4 linked regions of the Oryzias latipes genome follow. The protein of the gene in region 4 binds, or shares a complex with, the protein of the main gene of each other region. Links are inferred from orthologs where the notes say so. Each region holds a gene or a part of one and is shown on either strand. Other genes may lie near its edges.

What was found.
Region 1: ecsit (region 4) and cytochrome c oxidase assembly factor 1 homolog share a complex: the UniProt entries of both Homo sapiens proteins name them as parts of the mitochondrial complex. The link is inferred for Oryzias latipes from reciprocal best matches to the Homo sapiens genes ECSIT and COA1.
Region 2: ecsit (region 4) and tmem186 share a complex: the UniProt entries of both Homo sapiens proteins name them as parts of the mitochondrial complex. The link is inferred for Oryzias latipes from reciprocal best matches to the Homo sapiens genes ECSIT and TMEM186.
Region 3: the proteins of ecsit (region 4) and acad9 are in contact, whole or in part, in a cryo-EM structure (PDB 8PHE), measured with the Homo sapiens proteins. The link is inferred for Oryzias latipes from reciprocal best matches to the Homo sapiens genes ECSIT and ACAD9. Residues at the interface, in NP_057665.2 of Homo sapiens: Pro321, Glu322, Glu323, Trp324, Asn325, Leu326, Tyr327, Tyr328, Pro329, Met330, Leu332, Asp333, Leu334; in NP_054768.2 of Homo sapiens: Leu180, Thr181, Asp188, Ala189, Ala190, Ser191, Ile192, Lys228, Lys239, Asp240, Lys241, Ile242, Phe293, Ala296, Met297, Leu300, Ile431, Met434, Tyr435, Leu438, Thr439, Leu441, Gln442, Gly445, Thr449, Leu516, Gly520, Lys521, Ile523, Met524.

The regions. Positions count from the first base shown.
Region 1 is NC_019875.2:5,297,602-5,301,752, forward strand, and holds the start of cytochrome c oxidase assembly factor 1 homolog, read left to right. Parts: upstream 1-1,321; 5' UTR 1,322-1,478; intron 1,479-1,500; coding exon of another isoform or gene 1,501-1,526; exon of another isoform or gene 1,527-1,601; intron 1,602-1,963; 5' UTR 1,964-1,976; coding exon 1,977-2,070; intron 2,071-2,275; coding exon 2,276-2,427; intron 2,428-4,151. Other genes in the region: blvra (biliverdin reductase A), read right to left, coding at 1,501-1,526. UniProt on the Homo sapiens protein: Component of the MITRAC (mitochondrial translation regulation assembly intermediate of cytochrome c oxidase complex) complex, that regulates cytochrome c oxidase assembly.
Region 2 is NC_019859.2:36,187,905-36,191,180, reverse strand, and holds tmem186 (transmembrane protein 186), read right to left. Parts: upstream 1,899-3,276; 5' UTR 1,760-1,898; coding exon 1,739-1,759; intron 1,286-1,738; coding exon 620-1,285; 3' UTR 551-619; downstream 1-550. Other genes in the region: gde1 (glycerophosphodiester phosphodiesterase 1), read left to right, coding at 2,255-2,524. UniProt on the Homo sapiens protein: As part of the MCIA complex, required for efficient assembly of the mitochondrial complex I.
Region 3 is NC_019863.2:25,296,288-25,299,017, forward strand, and holds part of acad9 (acyl-CoA dehydrogenase family member 9, mitochondrial), read left to right. Parts: coding exon 1-5; intron 6-480; coding exon 481-559; intron 560-642; coding exon 643-814; intron 815-883; coding exon 884-957; intron 958-1,034; coding exon 1,035-1,110; intron 1,111-1,180; coding exon 1,181-1,251; intron 1,252-1,324; coding exon 1,325-1,444; intron 1,445-1,522; coding exon 1,523-1,651; intron 1,652-2,730. UniProt on the Homo sapiens protein: As part of the MCIA complex, primarily participates in the assembly of the mitochondrial complex I and therefore plays a role in oxidative phosphorylation.
Region 4 is NC_019876.2:29,030,304-29,034,336, reverse strand, and holds the start of ecsit (evolutionarily conserved signaling intermediate in Toll pathway, mitochondrial), read left to right. Parts: upstream 1-1,219; 5' UTR 1,220-1,440; coding exon of another isoform or gene 1,441-1,465; 5' UTR 1,466-1,496; exon of another isoform or gene 1,497-2,006; intron 2,007-3,096; exon of another isoform or gene 3,097-3,104; 5' UTR 3,105-3,191; intron 3,192-3,332; 5' UTR 3,333-3,394; coding exon 3,395-3,526; intron 3,527-4,033. Other genes in the region: eml3 (echinoderm microtubule-associated protein-like 3), read right to left, coding at 1,441-1,465.

The sequences.
Region 1 (4,151 bases), on a different chromosome or scaffold from region 4:
AGAATAGATGAAGTTTAGCCTCTAATCCAAAATGGGTTTATGTAAATATACACCTTGTGTGTCCGAAGATTCATACCCCCTAGTCCACAGGAAGCAGCATCACACTGCTTAAATGGAACCATTATTAAACCAAAACAAGGCCATGGGTCCGAATCCCCCCCCCCCCCCCCCCCCCAATTCACGTGTATTTTCTCATACATGAGAATGAAAAATAAACTTTTAGGACAGTGGTTATTGTTAAAACCCACTCCGATGAGAATTGTATTTTGGGTGTTAACATGTTCTTTTAGAACATTCTGAATGAACATATATAAAGATTAAAGTGGCTTTTTCCAAATAATTGAATCACGAGCAGATGGAAAAATGCAGTTGGAAAAACTAAACCTAACTCACAGATTTACTGTAGTGTTCTGCCCAACATCACTTCAATACTACATTACTGGAAGAGCTGGGAATTGAACCAACAATGACTGCTTTCACTCCCAAAACAGCAGTCGAAGAGACGGTTGAGAGGTTAGTATTCCTCGTGGGTTTTTTGCCCTCAGAGCCCTATGGGTGATGTCAGAGATCACCAGTCCTGTCCAAATATATCTAGAAGCATCATCCTGTTTTTATTAATATGTATCTGTTAACAGGTGTGCTTCATTTAAATGTTTCTCCGTAATGTATTCTCTCTAAAAATCATCTCTCTTTGCTAACGGCCTCCCCGATGGAGCTTATCCAACTTCAGTAGTCCCGCTCTTCCATCCATTCGAGGACATGTATTTAACTCTAAGACACAACTCCTACCACTTTTCTTAGCAAAGTCTGAAACACTGACATCCCTGTCTGCATGGTGGTGTTGTCTCCTGCACATGCAGTCTGGTGCAGCTCTGTGCATAAGCTACTTTTCCTCTTTTCAGCAGCTTCTCAAAGGTTTCGAAGCAACAACAACACAACAGCCTGAACAATGAAAAATGTTCCATATCCGTGCTGTGTATGGGGCGGCATTCTTGTCCACGCAAACACGTAAACATGATGTACATTTAGTAAACCACAGGTGCTCAAAGGTTACCCGGATCGCAGTCAAACACTTTGATTAGAGTGGTGATAAAACCCGTTTATTTCCATTAAAATGGTGCAGAATATAGACCGAAGAAAGAAAGCCAGCTTTTATTAGCAGTATGAAGTTATCCTGCATGTCCAGGAAAAACTGAATTGTAAAGAAGACTGTTCCATTTTCCTCTATATTTCATCTAGTGCAGCGCGTCCAGAGTCCAGCAGGGGGCAGTAAACAGCCTTTGTGCGGCACAAACCCCCGATAAGCATAGAAGAAAGAAGACAAAGGCCACCGTCCCTATTTAAACCCACGTGAACACGTGTTACGGACGGATTCCGGATCTAACCTGCAGCAGAGCGGCGCACGCTCACGGAGAACCGCGCAAACGAGGGGGAGGGGTCAGGGAAGAGCACGCGCCGGTAGAGCCGCATGTGTTCAGGTAAGAGTGACACTGAACTCACCTGAGCGCATTTGTCCGCCACAGCATTCATGGAGAGGCCATTTCGACCAGCTGACAGGACATTCCCGATGACGTAAAAGGGCCCCGCCCAGTCGGTGCCTCGTAGTCGGTGATTTTTTTTTTAGAAGCATTTTTTTACATCCCAATATTTTCAACAGTGAATGCTTTATCTTTATTTTCGGATTTTTGGAAATGTTTCCTCCTGCAGGAGAAAAAAAAAACATCAGAACAATGTTCCTGTTTTCTCTGGGATTTGTGTACACTGTTCCTGTTTAAATAAAGTTTCAACAAATTAGAAACCAGGACAGGACTCCAGAGCTGTAGACCTAGAGAGTTCCTCTCTATAAGTCATTTTTCTGGCAGCATCCTCTGATGATTTTCCCTCCATCATGTCTCTCAGGTTGGTGTCTGCAGCTCAGCCGCCATCGTGGCTCCGTTTCATCTGTCTTTGCTTTTTTGTGCAGGAAGAGCTGCACCATGAGGGTCCCCATCCACCATCTGCAGAGGCTCACCATCTTCACTACCGTCCTGACGGGTGGGGGCGTTGGCACCATGTACTACCTGATGCAGAGTGAGTGCATGTGTGCGTGCACGCGTTGAAGCAATAGTCTGTTCAAAACAGAAACTCCTGGTTCCGCTTTACGGTCTGAAAGTGGCTCTGGTTTAGGAGTGGAACCCGCAAATGTCTTGGTCTGTCTCTCTGCTGCAGCCCCTTCATGTCTCTGTGACTCATGCACACGTACGTGCGCATGCTCTCTTTTCTGCTATCTCGTCAGAAAACTTTGCTGGGAGTGAATACCATCAACTCGCTGTGCGACAGCTGAAGGCGTGTCCTGTTGCCATGGAGAGCCTTGGAGCCCCGCCCTTACGAGTTCATAACATCCATCTGACTGACAGATACAACCGTGTGGACCATCAGGCAGCCCAGGTACAGTCTGTCAGGGGGGTGTCCAGCCGCTGTGTGATGATGAGTAAACTGACCAGTTTCTCCATTATCACAGGAAGATGAAAAATAGGATTATTTTTGCTAACAAAGTATTAGGCAGAAAAAAATATTCACAAATTAATTCTGTGCATTTGTATGCAGCCTGCTTATGCCGACATAACAGAAGGCAGAATAAATCCAGTTTAAACACACAGTTTAGTTGTGTGACATCCTCCAGAACAGGAAAAGCAGCAGAATTCTAGTTGTTACTTGTCAAATCTAGGTCTGAAACCTGTCCCACCTCAAATTAGGGCTGTGTATTGGCAAGAGTCTGGCGATACGATACGTATCCCAAAATTTTACCAAAACATATTTTCTTTTTTTCTTTAAATATGGCTTTGAAAAAACTCAACCTGAATTTCAATATGTCATCCACTGCAATAAAATGGTCAAATTCAGTTTATTAAATGATCACAATGTTAAGCGCTGCAATTGCGTCTCATGTATAAGTTCCATTTACCAAAGCAAATTCATAGTGCTTTTATTTTGGTAAGTTAAAATATAGAAAGGGAACAGTCAACATTGTTTGATTTCCACAACAAAATATTTTTCAGTATAAGAAAAACAAAGAATGAATGAGCCTTAACCAATAAGTTTCTATTGGGCAAATAAAATGCTGTTTATTTTCAACTTTGCTTAATGTAGCTTCTCCATTACTTTTAAACGGTTCAGGAGTCAGAATGGTGCTTCAAAAATAAAGGGTGGGGTGTGGGGGACACACTGATTATTTCCAGAAACAATAAAGTGATGATGAGGCAGCATGACGGAACGACGAAAAGATGCTTTAATGTGACAAAAGTGCTTTGTTTACATATTATCAGTCTCTGCCTGTGCTGCACCTTTGGCTTTCCAGCCACGCTTCATCTCACACGGAGGTAAACTAACGCTCCTCGCCACGATGTCGCCTTTTTTCAGAGCGTTGTACACATTCCTCTGATCCATCAGGTCGCTAAACTAGAATCTATTGCTGGGATGTTTTGCAGAATTTTAGCCCGCTTTGCTGATTAGCAGGTTTTTAGCCGATGCTAAGCGCATAAGCCTCTTTAGCCGCTGCCGTGCTTCACTCTTATTTATCTGAGCCGCTAAAAAGCATCACAATCCTCGTTTTTATATGTTGCTAGAAGCAACATATAAAAAGCAACATGGCTCAGAGTTTCTGTTTGGTATCCATCGCAAGTAAAAACGAAGTATTTCATGTCTCATAACAACAGAACAAGCTGCCTCTGGCTGCAGTCTTCCTGTTGTCTCGTGCAGAGTAGAGCTGCTCTAAGAGGCTCCGTGTTCTCTGCTGCCAACTAGCGGTCAGAGGATGAAGTGGAGAACAAGAGTCAGACGCTGAAGAGCGCTCAGAAATAATTAAATAAATATCGTTCTGGCAGTAGGGTTGGGCGATGTCCCTTAAATTGGCCGTTGACGATGTTTGCTGTCAATCATCGGTATGGACGATGATATCGTCGTGGGGGGGGCTATTTTTAATATTTCGGTCTTATATAATTGCTATTCGTTGTTTTACTTTATTACTTTATTTATTTTATTTCCCAACTAATGACTCATCCGCGATGATCCAGTATAAACTGAGGGAAGTGACTTTAACAAAAAAAGTAACAAACAAACTAGAAAAGAAACGGTCCGCTCCCGCTCTTAACTAGTCAAGTGGACCGGCGGAG
Region 2 (3,276 bases), on a different chromosome or scaffold from region 4:
TTTTAATCGTTGAGAACATTTCTTTTAGGATTTCTACAACTCATTTAGCTCAGAAAACCAATTATTGATCCTGAAACTGGACTCCGTGTGTCCAATCAGGAAAAATCTGCTACAAATGGCGGACAGATGTCTAAGGCTGAATCCGGATTCTTCCCTCATCCCTGCGGCTTCTCCCTACCCCTTCATTTAGCCCTCCAAACGGAGGGATATGGGAAAATATTGTCTCCTGATTCGGGCATCACTCCCACTCGACGACATAATCCATAGTCCCCGTCAGCGCTCGGAAAATTCCTAACATCAGTTTTATAACGTTAAAGAGTGACGCTAAAACAAAAAGTCCTTAACTTCAGTCCTTCAGAGCAAACCCAAGTGAAGAAATGCATTTCTCCTCTACAGGATCACCCTTTTGAAGGGTTTGCCCCCTTAAACTATTTCAGACCCTCCAAATGCCCCAACAATTGGAGGAATAGGGAGAAGCCGGAGGGGTAGAGGAGGAATTCGGATTCGGCCTTAGTTAGCATTGAACATGTGAAGGTAACAGTCAGGACTGTAATATGTTTACATTTTTATTAACTTCCAGCACAACAGTTTCCCCCCCCCCAAGAAAAGTTCAAAGAATTTATGTTAAACTTCCAAATACTTTCTCAAAGCCCTGTCTATCCACCACCTTTCCAAAATACACAGAGAAATACAACGTCTCGGGGCCGCTGTACCTCTGAAGCCGGAGGATGGTCTCATTCGCTGAATCTCCAGTATCTCCAATGGTCATAACATCGGAAACAGGAATGTACATATCACTGCGCTTTCCCCAGAAAGTAAGGTGGGAAACTTTCAGCACGGTTTGAGATGGATCAAGGTACATCATTCCTACAACCCTCCTGAAGAAATGGCTTAGCGTGTACAGCATGACGCCAGCAAACGCAGCGATTCCAGTGGAGTAGCTGACCAAAAAGAAGGAGACGGCTCCCTGGAAATACAGGACAAACACTGGAGGCAGGATGACAGCAGTGATGGCGGTCTGGAGGAGTTTAAGTCTGGACACCGCCCTGAGGAACTTAATGTGTGGCAGGGTGTAAATCATTGAATATTTGGGGGTGGGCGAGTCGTAGTGTCGGATCAAAGTGGGAACTTTAGCTGGAACGGGTCCAGGGTGGCTCTGAACTGATGAGGAGTGTGGAGAAGGAGGAGACTCCAAGGTGTAAGCAATCCGTCCTGAGAGCAAACAGGATCCTCTGGTACATGACAGAAGGCGGGACGTCAGCCTCCGCAGCAACAGCGACTCCATCTGAGAAAAAACTTCACTTAGAAAAACATCCTTCGAAGTATGCTGAGAGACGGAAAAGCAGTTAAGGTTAGTTTCTTCCAATATCTCATAAAGTGATTTAAAGTTACTGGTATGATATTGGTCTGGTTTAGTTCAACCAGACTCTAACATACATGTTCAATGAAATCTGGGATGGATAAACTACAACATTTGCAATACAGTCAACTAAAACAGTTGTAATTCCTCCTAAATTTGCTAAATGGTATTGTAAGTCAAATGTCTTATTCCTGGTTTTGAACTCGTCTCTGGTATCTGGAAAAGGTAACCTGCTGAGACTAGAGACAGTTCATTCTGAACAGTTGTCGAACCTCCAGAACTGTTTAGTATATAAATAAAATATAAATAAAGACGAAACATCTTAATTGACGAATGAAGTTTTGTTGCTACAAGCAAAACGTGAGGAAAAAGACTCACCAGGACAGGAGACAAGGACATAAAATAAGATAAAATACAGCAACACGAGAACAGGAAGTGATCTGTTAGCCGACCAGTGACCCGGAAGTCCTTTCTTAGTCTTTTATTTTATTACTTCAATTTATTTCAAAGTCACATTTTGTTTGGTTGGCTGGCCCACGTAAGGCGTTTTAAAGTGCTGATAGTATTTATAGCCATATTTTATTGAAAAAAAATGTTTTATATTTATTGTGGTAAATTGTTTTTATTGGTTAAAAACTACAGGCTTTTATTTTGTCGTGACTTGACGGAGCACATCCGGCCCGACGGGAGAATCGATCAGCTTCAGCCGTTAACGGCTGTGTTCAAAGACGCCGAATGTGCCGGTTTCGTTACACGTTCGATGCCGTCACAAGTCAGCGGGGCGGAGCTTGTGCCATGGCGAATATCTGTGCCTAGACAGGTTAGAAAGTCTGAGTGACGCGCGGGCGGTGCTTCCGCTTCCTCCAGCTGTTTCCAGACAGGAGAGGAGCCGCGATGCTTCCGCTGGGGGACGAGGTCGCCCTCCACTCGTTGGTCTTCGTGCTGGTCTTACTGGGGACCCGAAGTCCGCTGTGGTCTGCCGTCCTCACCACTTCCTTGTACTGTTTTCTAGCCATGTTTCGTTTCCCGCAAGTGGCGCGCAGCCGAGCCCGTCTCGTGCTGCAGCCGGTGGGTTGCGGGGCGGAGAGCGCGCGGGTGTCCGTGATCGCTCACCGGGGCGGCGCGCACGACGCGCCGGAGAACACCATCGCTGCCATCAGAGAGGTGAGACGAATGTCTTTACAGGTGTTCACGGTGTCCTGTGTCACGTGGAGACGCACGTCAGTCAGTGTCACATTATTGTGAAAGCTCTGGTGAAAACGGCGTTTCTGGTGTTTTTAACTTGATCTCTTGGCTTTTTTATGGTGATGAAGGACAAATATGAAGAAAGTTGAGAATATAACTGCTTTCCTGAGTTCTTTTTTATTCAAATCGTTGTGGATCAGGAGCAGACGAAAAAATGCTGTTGGAAAAAGATCGTATTTGTGACGTAGACAGGGGGCGGCGCCCATCGGTAGCTTTGAGTTGCTAAAGCAACTGCAAGATTTGGCAAAGCAACCCCAAATATGTAGGAGCCCCACCGTTTGAAAGAGCTTACGTTATCGGACATGTCCTGACTAGAGCTGTCCAAATCTACCATTCCAACATCCAGGGCCCTAGAAATTTCCCAGAAGTCTCTGCTAAAAAACAGTGTGCATGATGCTCACTAGATCAGCGAATATAGACCACAATGCATTGCGTTGGACCAATTATTACCAAAAACATGTATTTTTTTAATGAATCAATGTTTTTATCTTCAGAAGACGGTTGACTAAAATAATCGGTGCAAAACGCTCATAGTAATTATATTTTAACTTTGTGAAATCGATGACATCATATCTGCCGTGTAAAAAAAAAAAAAAAGTTGTGAGCATGGAGTCTGAATTGCTTTTTAAATCCAAGACACTACATATATATATGTACATATACGCTACACA
Region 3 (2,730 bases), on a different chromosome or scaffold from region 4:
GGGAGGTAAAAGCATCCAACCTTTCTGTGGAGCTTCATTCGTGTTTCTGCTCACAGCCCGACAGCAAAGAGGTGATGGAGCACGGGAATATCTGCCAGCAGTAACAGAGAGAATGCATGTACACACAGCCCCCCCCCCCCCCCCCCCCCCACACACATCTTTTTATCTCACTGAAAGTACACAGGCTTTTATTTCGAAGGAAAGTAGTCGTATATCTTAATAATCTTTCCTCTACAACAAAACACTTTAGCGTCTTTCTATTTTTTCTTTGTCACCCTGTTAGGAAGAGTCTGGATCAAACGATTAACATCATTTTAACTTAAATTTTCAAAATAAAAGTTTAAACAATTTTTTTCATGTCTGAATTTCCCAAAACAAACATTACAGTTTTATGCACTCAGGGAATAGAACACTGAATTGTCTGTGCACATGACAGTGCACGTTTGTGTGCACGTGGCTGACTGTTATCTGGTGTTACAGTGGGAGTGATGCGGCCTCCATTCAGACTCGAGCTACCCTGTCTGAAGATGGAAAACATTACCTGATCAACGGTTCCAAGGTGAGACGGTGGACGCTCACATGGGTGCACGTGTTTGTTTTTTTTACATGTAGGTGTGTTGAGCTTCCTCTTTTGTCTGTCAGTTCTGGATCTCAAACGGAGGGATGGCGGACATCATGACAGTGTTCGCTCGCACTGAGGTGGAGGTGGACGGAGTCAAAAAAGACAAAATCTCAGCCTTTATTGTTGAGAGGGCTTTTGGGGGGATAACCAGCGGCAAGCCAGAGGACAAGCTGGGCATCCGGGGATCCAACAGTAAGTGGGGCGGAGTTGGACTCCAAGCTTTGTCGGGTCTGTGAAGCTGAGCTTTGGTTCTACTTCCAGCTTGTGAGGTGTCCTTTGACAATGTGCCGGTGCCGGTGGAGAATGTAATTGGTGAGATTGGAGGAGGATTCAAGGTAAACTGTGCCCTGCTCTGCAGCCTGACCAGTTGAAGGTGTTTGTCGGTCATTAATGGGAGCTTTGTGATGAACAGATCGCCATGAACATCCTGAACTCTGGAAGGTTCAGCATGGGCAGCTCCTGTGCCGGAATGATCAAAAAGCTGATCGGTAAGCAGATATTCTCTGAAGGTTGTGGTGCTTTTCGAAGTCTCTGCATTTCTATATATTCTCTCCGCAGAGATGGCCTCTGAGTACGCCGCCACCAGGAAGCAGTTTAACAAAAGCCTTAGTGAGTTTGGCCTGATCCAGGTATGCTGTCAGCCTCCTCACTGTAATAAAGCAGCTAACACCCAAGCTAAAAAGTCCTCATGTGTTTCTGCAGGAGAAGTTTGCCTTGATGGCCATCAATGCCTTTGTGATGGAGAGCATGGCTTACCTGACTGCAGGAATGATGGATAGACCTGGAGTTCCAGATTGTTCTCTGGAAGCTGCCATGGTCAAGGTAGATGCAGCCTCCCCCCTCCTGTGCTCTATTTCGTGCTAGGCTTGAGCCCCACCCTGATGTCTCTGTGCCGCGCAGGTGTTCAGCTCAGAGGGAGGCTGGATCTGCGTCAGCGAGGCTCTGCAGGTCCTCGGAGGTCTGGGTTACACCAAGAACTACCCGTATGAGCGCTTCGTCAGGGACTGCCGCATCCTACCCATCTTTGAGGTAAAGATGAGGCAGGGCTGCAGTATGCAGGTGTCACTGTTCAGGATCCGATCAGTGCAGCCTCTGGGTGTCCTGTACTAAAAACTGTCCAAGCTGAACATCAGGATTTCCCCGAATCTCAGGAGAAACTGGGGCCTCAGAGCTGACCAGAAGCCTTATTTATGTCAGTTTCTACACGCAAAAAAGTTAAGGAACGCAGGTGGACATCGCCATTTACAAAGCTTAATGTAAACACTGGTGTAGGAAAAATATATGCTGGAGACATTGCTTCCGTGCGCAGTGAGCAAACCTGTACAAGGACTGCTAAATTAGACATTTGGCGACAAAAAAATAAAATATTACAGCAATTCAGTCATGAATCACACGAACATTTTATCACCACTTTTAACAGGCATTTTCTATCAGTCATTAGGTTCTTATGCAATGACTATTAATGCAATTAAGCTCTCAGTGCTGTGAAGCTGATGGAGATCGTGCAAGAGACCACACAGTAAAAACCAAACTGGGAACTACCAGTATTAGTTTTGATGTCTCAAATATTCAGCAAAACATGTCAAACACCTAGGCTATGTCTGAATTTCCTCACTTCTCCCTAACCCATAAAATATGATATAGTGCAGGACTAGAGCCCTAGTTTTAATGCAACAATGCCCACTAGTTTTCACAGAGACTTCTGGGAAATTTCTAGGATTTTGAATTATTATTTTGTAATACAAAATGCTAACGCACCATATAGTGAGTAGTGAGGGAATTCAGACCTTGTTTCTTCAGTTACATGTAAACTACATCTGTGCTTGAAACTGTGGGTCACTGGATTGTAGTGGCTCCGCTTCCCCCAGCTGAAGACGTCAGGCGCATGTCATCAGCAGGAATCATCAGCTGTAGGGATGTCGTTGACATCTGGTGCGATAAAGTGGAAATTATTAATAAATGCCTCAAAAGTGTTTCCCCATCAAGACTGCAATCTCCTCATCTGTCAGCGAAGTTTCAGCTGTTTACATCATCATATGTAGTTTTCTCTTTTTATGTTGCTTTATTTGACACATACTTCCACACAGAGCAGGCTGGTCCTTCTTATC
Region 4 (4,033 bases):
GTTTTATAGGCGAGCCTCCTGGAAACATCCAAGACTGGATTATAAGGAAAGAACACAAAAACCTAAAGAGACTGATCACATGAGTCATTTAGGAGATTCTGCTCCACAACTGAAGTTGAACCTGAGATTGTGCACGGACAACAGAAGCTCTATTTCTGTGAACAACTACAGAGATTTATGTGGTTATTATTGATTTTCTAAAATCTAAAATACTGTTACTTTATATTTACTGACTTTTTATGTAAAGAACCCAGAGAGGATTATTTAGTAACAGATCGGCTTGTTAACATTTGGTTCTGTGTGGCTCTCAGTTTACATTTAGGCCCCCCTGCGACTGTCACACTTTCTCTGTTTCAAACTGACCACGGCCCCCATCAGAGGATGGAAACGTCTCTGAAAAGTCTGGGGACCCCTGCGTTAGAGGTAAGACTGAGATGGTTGGGACATGTCCAGAGGACAGACTGAAGGATGCTGAGTCTAGAGGAAGACCAGAGAGGAGGACTCTGGATGAAGGAAGACATGAAGGTAGCTGCTGGTAGAGGATGCAGGAGACAGACAGAGGAAGCTGATTGGCTGTGGAGACCCTGAAGGGAAACACCCAAAGGAAGAGAAGAAGATGAGTGGATTGGAGTACACACCCATCGAGGTATTTTGACGTTATTTCTGTTGTACAGTCAGTACTCTGGTCTAAACGGAGGAGGATGACAGACGTGATGGACAGAATGAGGCCTATAGGGGAAGTCCACATCCTCAGGTGGGGTCTCCGCTGCTCCTGACACCTTCAGCCAGAGTTCTGCAGGAGCTGCAGCTCATTGATGCAAAAACGGAAACAAGAAGCGCCTCCAGCTGAATCTAAGAGCCTCCAAATGAAAGCTGCGGGAATCTGAGCGCACGAGACGTTCCCAGACGTTTAAGGCATCAGCACAGAAGGGCCCCGCAGGCCCCGCAGAGGCCCCAGATGTGCAACAAAAGCCGCTTCTGTCTGTCCCGTGGAGCGGAGCCCGACCCGCTGCTGTCATCCGGGCCGTGTTTGCTGATCCGAAAGTGAAGGCATTCCTCAGAACCGCCTTCAGGTCATGAGATAAAGCGCTGCTTCCAAACCGCAAATATGACTTCAGCCCCGCACACCCACGCACGGCGCTGCGCCCGCGGCACACATCTCTGCGCCTCGCTCGACGCGGAGCTTTACGCGGCCGTTTGCAGGTGAAAAGCGGGCTGAAGACAAACCAACTACTGTCAGAACCGAACCGGAGCCAAGAAACGGAAAGAGAAAGTTGTGAACAGAACCCAAACAAATGTTCTGAAGTCCTCCACCAACCGGACATTTACAAAAAAACTCCAGGATGACTGCTCCCCGCAGGAGCAGTGGATCGGAACCAGTCAGTCAGAAGCAGCGGGGCTGGCGCTAAAGTTCGGCTGGTTCGGAGCAGAACTACTCACCCAGACTGTTGGTGGAGGAGTCCATGATCCGGTTGAGAGGCGCGGTGCGGCCAAAGGTTTGTGTTTTTATACTTTAAGGTGTGTTTTCCATGCTCACGCGGGAGTGTCTCACAAAGGCTCCAGTCAACTGCGGGCGCTGCAGCACACCGGAAACGTGAATGCCGCTCACAGCCGCGCGCTTCACGCGCCAGGAGGAACCCCGCGAGCCCTGCAACCGGATTACCGACTCCCAAACTGACAGCAGAACTCACAGGGATCCATCAGCGGGACATACCGCTGTCATGTCAGTGCTGCAGCCCCCCAGCCCCAGAAACCCCCCCGGACGCTGACAGCCAGAGCGAAAAATGTTAGTGTGGAGTTTTCAGCTCATGCAGCGCGGCGATGCCTGCTGCTGCCTCAGCGCCGCTGTTTCTGTCGCCCCCGCGTGGCGTCATCCGGAACTGCATGTTGCTGAATAAAGCATCTGCTGCTGCTGATCCCGTTTGATGTCCGCCGCTGGGAGGATCACATGACCACGTTCAGCCTCACCAGACTTAACCAAACTCCCAAAACACAATCCGACTACCCCCCTCCCCCCCATTGTCCTTCCCTGCAGCTGGGTAAACAGACAGGAGGATCAGATAATATCTGAATGCATCAGACAGATTTCACATCAAGGAGAAATGAATAAAAATCCCATTTTTGGGCTCTTCTGACAATAGTTACATCACAGTTTCTTGGTTTAAAAAACAGATTAAATTCTATGAACCATTTCTCTGGTCCAGCCTTCCAAAATAAAGGCCCAATACACAAATAAAAAGGCCGTTTGGATTTGATTTATTTCAAGCGATCAAAACCGAAAAGACAAACAAAAGACATTTATGTATAGATCAAGTATATCAAACTCAAGCTGATTTGTCACGAAGTGATTAAAAAATCTAAAAAGTAAAACATATAAAAACAGTTGCAAACATATATTCCTTTATAGTTACTCTTAATCATAAATATTTGCACTTATATAAACAATACACGACATATTAAACCTATTAAATTAAAATTTATTTTCCAAAAGAGTTTAATTATTTGAGGAGTAAGAGAAAGCTAATGAACATAAACCCACCCCTATTGTGCTTTATTTAACTTGTTTTTACATATTTATCATATTCTAGTTTGTAACTTCTGACAAAAAGACATGACAACATTCCAGAAATTAATATTACTCAAACATTTAGTGCTCAACGATTATTGCATTAATTATCGTTTGATAAAACTTCCCTCAAAACTATCAAAGCAAACCTGTTTTTTTAACGGCTTTCCACTTTTTTCTAAGTTAAATTCTTCTCTACTAAACTTTGGAGGCCTCTCCTGACTAGCTTTGGGGGGGGGCACTATTACTTTATGAATGACATTTATTTATCTTCCCTCTTGCTGAGCTTTTGTCACATTAAAATCCACCTGGTTGAACACTTGCCACCAGCCTTGACAGGAGGGTTTGGGGTTTGAATCTCTGCACCTCTCTGCCTTTTCCTGCTGCTGCTAAGACGTATTTTATGTTAGGAAGAACGGTTAGTATTTACGTAAACAAATATTTACATTTTCTCTGTCTAAAATCACCGGGCAGCACAGCGCGGAACTTTCTTCTCCGGACCTGCGGAACGATTGTTGCTGTTTTTCTCTGTTGTGAGGGGGAAGGAAAAAGGTGCCGGACAGAGGACGTTGGTTCCCCGGTAAGCTGCCGCCGTGTGGTTGTTTTGAAGGAGACTCGTTTTCAGGTGTGTTTTGAGTGTTTTCTTGTCACTTTGCTTCATTTTTTAATCTCTTCCGGGAGTCACTGATAACTAGTGGGAGACATTTTGGTGCTTGTGATCCTGGCACGCGCTCAGACCTCCCTGAGTCCGTCTTTCTTTCGATAGCCGTCGCTGTCTGTCTGTCTGTGTGGATCTACCATCTGGACGGTGGGTTTCATGGCTCCACCATGAAGGTTTCCCGCTGCCTACAGCGGCTGCAGGATCTGCGGCTGCTCCGATGCTCGTGGCAGACGGCGCGGGTCCTCCAGCCAGAACCCCACGGTCCGCGCGCCGCGCGGAGCAACCCACAGCAGCACCGGGTGAGTTCCGGCCCACCCCCTCCTGACGGGCCCTGAGTGACAGGTCCGAGATCAAAGGTCCCGTCTGTGTGAGTGACAGGTCCGAGATCAAAGGTCCCGTCTGTGTTTTACCTCCTGAAAACAGGAATCGCTTCTTTCCAGCGATTCATTTTTAATGATCAATGATTTTTCACAATACAAATATGTCAATCAAGTTACAAATGGTTCCAATCAAACGTTCATAAAAGGAAAAAAAAAGTAGAATTATTTCAAATTAAATGTTTGTTTTGCTATTTTTAAGCAAATGGATTGTATTCTATGTGAGGTTCTTGTATTTGTATTGTTACTTTTGATTACAGTGACAAAGAACTAGTGTAAAAGGTGCAAAAGACTCAGTTTAGAATAAAATTAGAATATGATGTTTGTCCACATGAATATGTTTTAACAGATTTAATTGGATCTCCCTCTGTTTTTATACAACGGTAGTGACAGGAGTTCTGCTGTCAATTCAGTTAAAGGTTTCCTCAT